Caenorhabditis elegans: one gene and its partner. The protein of the gene in region 2 purifies or fractionates together with the protein of the main gene of each other region. This does not show direct contact. Each region holds a gene or a part of one and is shown on either strand. Other genes may lie near its edges.

Region 1 (5,352 bases), on a different chromosome or scaffold from region 2:
CAAAAACCGAATAAAAAAAAAAAAAACTAAACCTAATATTAAATCTTAAAAATAATTAATTTAGATATGTCTAATTAGCTTTAAAACATTGCTTCAAGTATTTTATCGTGAATCTGGAATATAATTGTCTAATTAACGAACTTTGATAATTTTGATGGCTCAATTTTCAGGATCGACCCCATTCGGAGCAGCGTCGACTGGAACAGCCGCGGGATCAACGCTTTTTGGATCGAGTACTGCAAAGCCAGCTACAGGCGGATTTTTTGGTTCCAGCTCAGGGTCTACTCTTGGTGGTCTTGGAGCAACTCAACAACAACAACAGCCTGTTGTTCAGCAGCAACAAGTTATTCAGGTAATTAAATGAATCTTAAGAATATCTGAGCGCTTTTCCAAATAAAATTTTTTCAGCAGTATCACCCATTTGTGAAAGCTGTCGGAGATCCAAAGCTCTTTGGAAATGATAATGATGGAGTTGTTGCTAAGTTGAATCAAGTTGCTGCCGGTTTGGGTGTCGGAAAAGCTCCATACAAAGATGGAAATCAGCTTCTATCGTTTTCAATGGAAGGAAACTTGTTTGAACGATTTGTTGTAAGTTTATTTTATAAATCACTGAAAACTTGCACAGTGTCACGTTTCAGGGAATCGGATACAATCGTATTTCGGAGCGAACCGACGATGAGGGATTTGTAACTTTGGTGCTGCGTCATCCTATTACAAACTTGAACACAGAAGAACGCCGTGACAAAATTCTTGAAATTATCAAAGCTATTCTTGGTGGCGGACCAAATGTAGAAGTTCGATATGCTCCTGGTACTTCGATGAGAACACTTTCTGATGGATGCACAGAAATCTGTATTATCGCCAAAGAAGGCGGATTTGTTGCAGGAGCTATTAAACTTGCTCAAATCCTCAATGATGCTCCAAAAATGACCCAATTAGAATCGCAGTTGCAAGTGGATAAAACAAGGGTTCTTCCTAAAGTTGGAATGTCGAAAGCACAAAGAGATAGATATTTGGAGACAGTTCCTGATGGTTAGTTTACTCGTTATTTTTACTATGTTTATCATTTATTAACAAAGATTTTCGTTTTCCTCCCTCGCATTGTATCAAATTTCATTCATTTCAGGAATCGATGAGCGTATTTGGAGACAAGCAATCAAAGAAAACCCAGCTCCAAACAAACTTCTTCCTGTTCCAGTACGTGGATGGGAAGCATTAAGAGACAGACAGAAGGCTCAAGTTGGCGAGTCGAAACTATTCCACGAGGCAATTAATGCATTGGGAAATCGTGTTGAAGAAGCTAATGTAAGTTGTTATAACTTGATGAAAGTTTACAAATGTCATACATATTTCAGCATGAACATGCAGATGCAGTTGTTAAGATGGAGATTATTCGTAATCGCCATAAAACTCTCTCGTACAGAATTGTTCGTGTTATGCTTGCACAATGGATTGTATCAAGATATTCACGTCAAATTGACACTGATGAGGATGTAATTGAAGCTAAAGCTGATACACTTCTTGCCCAAATGAATCGTCATAATCAAGTGAAGGTGAGAAAAAATTATGATTTAATTTTGTATAAAACAATTAATTTCAGTTTTATGTCGACAAATTCTACGAGATTTTGGAATCAAAACCGGATAAACTTCAAGAATCAATGTGGAAAATGTTTGATATGACAATTGAAGATGAACACTATGCTCGTAGAGTGCTTACCAAATTTGTTAATATTTGCTCTGGCCTTTACGAGTCAACACATCAACAAATCGAAAGTCTTGAAGCTTGTAGAAGGGCTCTAGAAGGATAATTTATTTTTTAGAAAAGATTTTCTGAAAATCTTTTTTTCAGATTTTCTCGTATTAATTTAAAAATTCGCTCATTTCTTTTGTATCATCATTATTTTCTTTCAAACTCTGACAGGTTTCTGGTTATTTCTGTTTCGACCTAAGATGTGTGGCAGAAAATTGTTTTTAAAACTTATACATATTGAGCAAAAAAGCTCGCTTTTTTCTATGTTCGCCTGTCATCACGAGTACATTTTTTCATAAAATATGCCTCATTCTTGGTTGTAACTGTTGATCTGACCTCCTCAAATTGTTAATTGTCTTATTTCACACACTGTTTAATAGATTGAATTAATTCATCTCAAACTTCTATCTAGAATAAATTTGATCTCCATTTTTCTGTTTGAGTTTTGTCAAATAACGGTTGTCTCCCGTTCGAATTTCTGCGATTTTCAAATAATTAGAATCACATAAAAACTATTGCAAAATGTATCTCAGAAAATGGACGATGAAGACAATGATGAAAAGAGACGTCAACGTTCAGATGAAGCTCGTCGAGCCGCGATGAGGCAAAAAATTCAAGATCAGAGAGAAAGAGATCGTCAAATTGCTGCTGACATTGCTAATGTTGACAAAAAAACGACAAAACGCATTGTATTTGAAGATTCGGATGATGGGGATGATCAGGATGAAGAAACAGAAAAAACAGCCGCGAATGGTGAAAAGGTTGGAAGTTTTTCAATTTTTTGAGATAAAAATCTCTTATAACAGCAATTGCCCGATTTCATAAAGTTGTTTGCTGTAAAGACAATACTCGTAAACTAAGTTGGAATAATTCAGAAAACCTCGCGCAGTTCAAAACGTCCAAAACTCTTCGATTCTGAAGATGAAAACGATAAAGATGAGGAGGAAGATTTTGAAATCAAAAATAGACACTCTGGTCCTAAAGGTATTGTCTAAAATTAAAATAAATTAAACCAAAACTATTTTTCAATTTTTAGGCGAAAAGCTGATGCACCTAGAATCACGTTTCAATAGTGATCCCCGATTCAAATTGGACGACAAGTTTGCAGAAAGTGATTCTGATGAAGATGGAAATATGGAGCAGAGCTCGGAAAAGCAAGAAATGAAATTAGAAAAAGATAAAAATCGAGAACTTTTGTCTAAAATTCTAGGAAAAAGTGTCGAAGAGAAAAAACCAAATACTATAGAGTCTTCAACACTTAAAGCTCGACCATTCACTCGTTTCGATCCTGAAAATCCTGAGCATTTGGAATGGATGAAAGCTTTTGAAGCTTCGAAAAATCCACAAAAAGTCAAGAAAACTGAAGAAAGTACAAATTCGGACGAAGATGGGAATGGAAGTGACGAAGGAGACGAAGATTCAACTGAAAAGAAAAAGGAAGAAGTCGTTGAAAAAGACGAGGAAAGCGGTGATGAGAGCTTTGAGAAAGCTGAAATCTTTTTCAAAATGGATGACGCGTTTTCAGCTGAAGTGAGTTTTCAACAAAAAAAAACATTTTTCACACAAAAATTATTTTCAGATGAAAGAACGAAAAGATGGTGATGATCCGTCAACTGGAGGTTTCTCTTTTTTATCAATGATTGGAAGAAAATATGATGACGAAGCAGTTGAAGATGATGGAGAAAATTTAAAGAAAATAGAACCAACACAAAGTAAAGCCGAACCGTCTGGAAATGTTGACAAAATCGAAAAATCTCTACTCAAAGTGAAAGTTAGCACAAAGTTTTTCGTCGATCCTCTGTCGGATGAAAAAATCAAAAGTTTAGCGGCTAATTTCAGAAGAACTCAAACAGTGGAGAAAGTTATTGATAAATGGGCACCTCATCGAGATGCTATTTTCAAGGTGAGTAGTTTTTTTTTTGAGCCTGACCGACTATTGAGCTCTGTTTTATTATTTCAAGCGAGTCTTAATACAAAAAAGATTTCAAATTGTTTTGATTCAGAAAGTTATACCAATTTCCAGTATGATCAAATAAGTCCACCATCTTAATAAATAACAAAATTTTCCCTAACTGTCTGATTCTCGTTACGCATACACAATCTCATTCTCAATCTTTTTGCGGAAAAGTGTCATTATTAATCGATTTTTCTTTCTTCTTCCAATATAAATTATTCATACATTTTTTAGCTCTGGAAGAAACAACGTCGTGATGCAGTAAAAAAGCAGAAAGATTCATTTTTCACAAATGGAAAACGAAAACGGAAAGCTGATACAGGAAACGAAGATGCTCCTGAGACTGCGTGAAATGTTCAAGATCTAATAGTTATTCAATTGTTCGTTGTTGTTTTTGTTGATTTTCAAATGTTTGTTATAGTAAATACATATTTTCAAATGTTTTGATTTTTTTGAAAACTTACTCTGGTTTAATTTCCGATGAGAATACCTTTTACATTTTTTATGATAATTTTTGTTAAACTATCATAATATTTCAGAATTCTTCAGCGTAATGTCATTTTCGGATGTTTTGGATGCAAAACCAAAAGAGCCAAAGCTCTATCGATTGCTTGGGTGTGATGAAAGCTCTTCGGTAGGTTAAACTTTAAAATAATATTTTCATAATTTAAGTTATATTCAGATAGATCAAATAACTGCCGAATATCGGGCACGGGTTCGCGACTGCCATCCGGATAAAGTGAAGGAGCACAACACGAATTCGACTGAAAAATTCATGGAGCTACAGGGAAGTTTAATAAAATAAATTAATATCAATAAAACGCACAATAATTGTTGTTACCTCTTCAGAATGCATATTCTATTTTAACGAGTGATTCTCGTCGAAAAACTTACGATTCGTGGCTTCATTCCCCGTTTCCAGTTTCTTTTGAAGACTTCACAAAGTCTCAGGACACTTTTCAGATGGTAATTTTGGCTCCGATATGTGTTTTTGAGTTTTTTTGGTTCGGTCCTTGTGCTTTTTTGTTGAAACTTTTAATTCTATTTAAAAGAAAATAAAAAATTTCAGTCAACTCACTGGGCAGTTCCAAAATCTCAACCATCTATTGCAGCCAATCAACCAGAAAAGTTGTCTCAAAATTTTAAATCTGAAAAATCTGAAAAATCACGCTGGTCCGACGGTGATCGATATCAATCATCGATTGCCTCGGCTTTTAGAAATTATAAAGTTTAAACCTGAAATTTTTTGCCAAATTTAACACTCCAAAATAATATGAATATTTTCAAAACAATATTTGTATTTTATTCATTTATATCAATTCTTAATAAATGTTTATTGAATACTTCACCTCTACGTCTTTGTTCATATTTGTACCGTATAACTCGGTTTGATATTGTTTTTACGCTCATAATGAGTTTTCAAATTTGAATTTTAGACCTTTTTACTTGCCAGACGATTCTACAAGTTTTGTATGAACGGTGAGTTTCAGATTTCGATGGCTGACACAGCTCAATACGGTATAATTTTCAGTCTACTCGTTTGACGGTCTTGTCGTTGCTGCTCTATTATTCATCTGCACCTGTGCTTATTTGAAACGAGTTCCACGTGTTAGTAGCTGGCTGTTGTCTGAGAAGAAGGGATTCTT
Region 2 (4,656 bases):
AACTTCACTCATTTGAATCACATCGTGATGAAATCTTCCAAGTTCAGTGGAGTCCACACAACGAGACTATTCTTGCATCCAGCGGTACTGATAAACGTCTTCATGTGTGGGACCTATCTAAGATTGGAGAAGACCAATCTGCCGAAGACGCGGAAGATGGTCCACCAGAGCTGTTGTTTATTCACGGTGGGCACACCGCCAAGATCAGCGATTTCTCGTGGAACCCGAACGAGCCTTGGGTTGTGTGCAGTGTGTCAGAAGACAATATTCTCCAAGTGTGGCAAATGGCTGATAACATATACAACGAAGTTGACGAAGAAACTCCAGCCGATGTGGTAGAGAGACAACAGTAAAATACGTGAAACGCGCTTAAATTATTTGTATTTAACTTCTATCCTTCTTTAATTTTGCATCTCAACAAATTGTTCATCTTACCATTTATTCAAACGCATATTCTTCACCAACTAAGTTTTTAAAGTTAAAATGTTACCTTGAGATATGATCATATTTTGTTGAACCTGAAATAAATTCGATGACCATTGTCAGATAACTGTTTTGAAATATTATGTTAACGTGATTGTTGTGATAGCTCAGATTGTGATATTTTTGGTTTTTTGTTGTATCTTTTGTTATTTCAGGCAATTTCAGAGCACAATGAGTGAAGCTGAATCGTGTGAAGAAACGAGTAAAGAACATAGAATTTGGAAGAAAAATGTTCCATATCTCTACGATACAGTCGTCACAAAAGAGGTCGAGTGGCCTTCTTTATCAGTGCAATGGATGCCTGATGTCACAAAAGTAAGAATCGGTAAATATGATTTCGCCTTCTTCATTATTTTTTTAAGACAGAGAACTCGGATTCATCGATGCATCGAATGATTCATGGAACACATACTTGTGGAGGAGTTCAGAATCATCTCATGATCTCAAAGTTCACAATAACGACAGACACACCAGAATTCGACGACGCTAAATGGGATTCGGAACGTGAAGAGTTCGGAGGTTATGGAGAGGGCAGCGCTGCAAAATGGGATACTGAGATTAAAATCAACCATCCAGGAGAAGTTCATAGGGCACGTTACATGCCACATAATCCTTTCATTATTGCAAGTCGAGGTCCTTCTGATGACGTTTATATTTTCGACTACACGAAGCACCCATCTGAACCAAAAGACACCAAATTTCGACCTCAATTGCGATTGAAAGGCCATGAAGGCGAAGGATATGGAATGTCGTGGAGCAACACCAGAGAGGGACATTTGCTAACTGCCGGCGATGACGGAATGGTATTTCTAACAAAAGATATACATAAATATACATTTTTTAAGATTTGCCACTGGGATATAAACGCGAATCAGACCATTTCCGGTCAAATAGTGCCACAAAGCAAGTTTAAAGGTCATTCATCAAATGCGGAGGATGTTTCTTTTCACGCGCTCCATAATTTCGTTTTTGGATCTGTTGGAGATGATAGAAAACTGTAAGTATAAATACATCATACCATTCTGTCGAGATTTCAAAATAATTTTCACGTCTTTAGAAACCTATGGGATCTGCGTCAATCAAAGCCACAGCTCACAGCCGTCGGACATACTGCAGAAGTTAATTGTATTACTTTCAATCCGTTTTCCGAATACATTTTAGCAACCGGATCTGTTGATAAAACGGTTGCTTTGTGGGATATGAGGAATATGCGCAAAAAAATGTACACGCTGAAACATCACAACGACGAAATATTTCAAGTATCGTTCAGCCCGCATTATGAAACTGTTCTGGCTAGTAGTGGATCGGATGAGTAAGTTTTTTCCTAATAAGTTGTATTTGTTTAACCTATGAAATTTCAAAAATTTCAGTCGGGTTATCGTTTGGGATATTTCTAAAATTCAAGACCCATCGTCTTCATCAGCTGCATCATCTGATTCTGTTCCACCAGAAGTTATTTTTATTCACGCTGGGCATACTGGAAAAGTTGCAGATTTCTCTTGGAATCCCAACCGCCCATGGACTATTTGCAGCAGCGACGAATTTAATGCATTACAGGCAAGAATTATTTTCAAAAAATTAATCATAACTATTTAATGGTTTTTCAGGTGTGGGAAGTTTCAAACAGTTTAGTTTCGTCGGAAAAATGGGAGACCGAAATGATTTAATCGTCTAAATTGCACTTTGTCGAATTTTACTAATTTTCTCACTTCTGATCTTTGAATGTAAAAATCACATTCCTATCAATGAACGTTTTTTCATTTTCTTTCATATTGTGTTCATCTATTCAGAATTAATTTCTCAGGTTTTCTCTGCCACTAAATATTTACTTTGAAAAATAGTGTGTTCACAATGGGGCGCACTTGCGAAACCATGTTTAGTCGGTTTACATTGCTTATTTTCTTACGATAAGGAATATATTGATTAAACATATTTCAAGGTTATCCAGAAAGAAAATGTTGAGAAATTGGAGACTTTTGGTAAGAAGTTTTGCAACAAATTCAAGTGAGGAAATCGCTCCGAAGGTTGATGTTAGTTTGTGAGTTTTCATTTTTTGCATGTTCAAAAAACAAAAAAAAACATTTTTTTAGTCTACGTCCCCGTCATCGAATCATTGCTGCTGGTGGGATGCCACCGGTTCAATTTGATTCTGAGCGTGAACGAGCATCTCGTCGTGAAAGATTCGGAAAATATGGTCTAAAAAGTGGTGTACCAGTTGAAGAGCTGTTCCCAACAGCTGAAGAAATTGAGGAAGAAGAAGCCATTGGATTGTTCAGAGAATTTAATAATGCTAAGAAAGAATACAAAGAACTACAGAAAAAGAAGAGGGAATCAGAGTTAGCGAGGTATACTTTAATTGTAATTTCAAAATTAGCAACATTTTAAAACATAACTTTAAAAAATTTAGAATCGTTCGATAATTTTGCTTCAATTTTGCGAAAATAGGGCAAAAATTAATTGTTTTTGAATTTCGTGCAAGTGGCTGACATGCACGAAATCGGCTTTCCTTGATTTTTTTCTTCAATATTTTATTTGAAACACCGTTTGTCAAATTTTCGGACAATTATATGTTTAAAAAATTAAAAATAGAATTATCGATTTTTAAGACATTTTTGAAATTTTAGTCTTTGCGAATTCTTTACACAAAAATGCCTGAAAAATTTACAAATATGTCATCTGAATCCATTTTCAGAATTGCTGAACTCGAGAAAAATCTCAAAAAGTATCCTGCAACACTTGCAAAATATGAAGCTTCATTGGTTAAACAAGAACAAGAGAAAGACGAAAAGGAAGTAGCACTTGAAAAACGAATTCGTGACATTCAAGAATACTTTGGATATTGGATGGATCCAAAAGATCCAAGATTCGAAGTGATGCTACAGCAAAAAGAAGCAGAAGAGAAGAAGGCTGTGAAAATGGCAAAGCGGGACGAAATTCAGAAGAAACGATTTGCAGAGAACGTTCAGGGATAATATATTTGTCAGATTTCTTAATTTTTCCTAGTTTTTCCTTTTGTCTTTTTCTAGATATAGTTTCTTGTTTTTGTTTTTATTTTCTTCCAACATTATAAATATTTTCAAAAAACCAATGCTCATTTTACCTTTCAATTATTGCCATGGTAGTCAAGCCTATTATTTGAAATCCTCATTTAAAGATTTCTTTTGACGATATAATTAATCCATATTTTCAGCTGGGATGAATCCAACATTTTTAGAATTCATCGGTGCCAATCAACGATCCAGTTGTGGATATTGTAAAAACGATCGCGGCGAACGAACTCCAGCTCGTTCCGCAAAAAGTTAGTCGGATTTCCTAATTTCTGTTGTTGTTTGAAATTAATTCTGATTTTTTACTAACAAACTACTGTTTCCCATTTCCTAAAACTTTTAACTTGATTTGTATACTGCAATTTTCAAACTGCTTAATGTTATTTACTTTTCTATATTGTCGTCTTTAAGAGAATGCTGAAACAGGAGAAGAAGATTTGACAAATGGATTGGAAGAAGAGTTAGAAGTGTCCAGTGAATCGTCAGTGACGACCGGTATGAGTACTTATTGGAGATTAACTTTCTAAAATTCTGATAAAGTTGTCTAATTATAACCCAGTCGCGATTCTTTTAAAACTTTTCCAAACATGTGCGCCTTTAAAAAGTACAGTAATCACATTTTCACTCAGATTTTGCTGTTTTCACTTTATTTTCCTGAGCTTCAATTTATTTTTGTAATTTAATACGTTTTCGAAAAAAAAAGGTTTGAAAACTTGAATTTAATTGTAAAATAACCGGGATTACTGTACCTATTAAAGATTAAAGGCTCACAATGTTAGTGAAATAACCGATTTCGCCCTGTCAGTCCGCATGTTTCTTCAGCACTAGTAATTCACACAATTTCACCGGACAACTTTATGTGGTTTGCAGAGGCTGGCTGGAGCACGTAAGTAAACGAATTCTAACTTTAAATTAAAGTACAACCGACACCTTCTCCAGCTCTTCTTCCAGTTATATTTATAGTTTTTTACTTAATTTTTGTTTGAAATTTTTTTTTGTTGAAAGTTTGCTTACAGGCGGAGCATGGGCACACAGTATGACTGTCAACGACTATTCCGGGCTACTGGATGTGGGCTGGAGAAGGTGGGATTAGTAGGTTTAAGAATTTTGTTCGATTTTTAGAAAT

Evidence for each region. The genes of interacting proteins can lie anywhere in the genome.
Region 1: the proteins of K07A1.10 (region 2) and K07F5.14 fractionate together in Caenorhabditis elegans (co-fractionation; one large-scale study listed by BioGRID). This does not show direct contact.

Annotation. Positions count from the first base shown.
Region 1 is NC_003282.8:9,859,936-9,865,287, forward strand, and holds K07F5.14 (NUC153 domain-containing protein), read left to right. Parts: upstream 1-2,285; 5' UTR 2,286-2,288; coding exon 2,289-2,513; intron 2,514-2,627; coding exon 2,628-2,736; intron 2,737-2,788; coding exon 2,789-3,282; intron 3,283-3,331; coding exon 3,332-3,655; intron 3,656-3,940; coding exon 3,941-4,057; 3' UTR 4,058-4,132; downstream 4,133-5,352. Other genes in the region: npp-1 (Nucleoporin Nup54 alpha-helical domain-containing protein), read left to right, coding at 171-352, 409-588, 639-1,032, 1,127-1,305, 1,356-1,553, 1,601-1,810; K07F5.16 (J domain-containing protein), read left to right, coding at 4,260-4,340, 4,389-4,490, 4,553-4,672, 4,776-4,940; K07F5.22 (Protein kish), read left to right, coding at 5,179-5,185, 5,238-5,352.
Region 2 is NC_003279.8:9,614,100-9,618,755, reverse strand, and holds K07A1.10 (Large ribosomal subunit protein mL64), read left to right. Parts: upstream 1-2,422; 5' UTR 2,423-2,438; coding exon 2,439-2,521; intron 2,522-2,573; coding exon 2,574-2,828; intron 2,829-3,175; coding exon 3,176-3,455; 3' UTR 3,456-3,564; downstream 3,565-4,656. Other genes in the region: putative histone-binding protein lin-53, read left to right, coding at 1-353; putative histone-binding protein rba-1, read left to right, coding at 655-798, 846-1,286, 1,329-1,480, 1,541-1,795, 1,854-2,040, 2,091-2,150; ate-1 (Arginyl-tRNA--protein transferase 1), read left to right, coding at 3,679-3,781, 3,942-4,025, 4,547-4,613.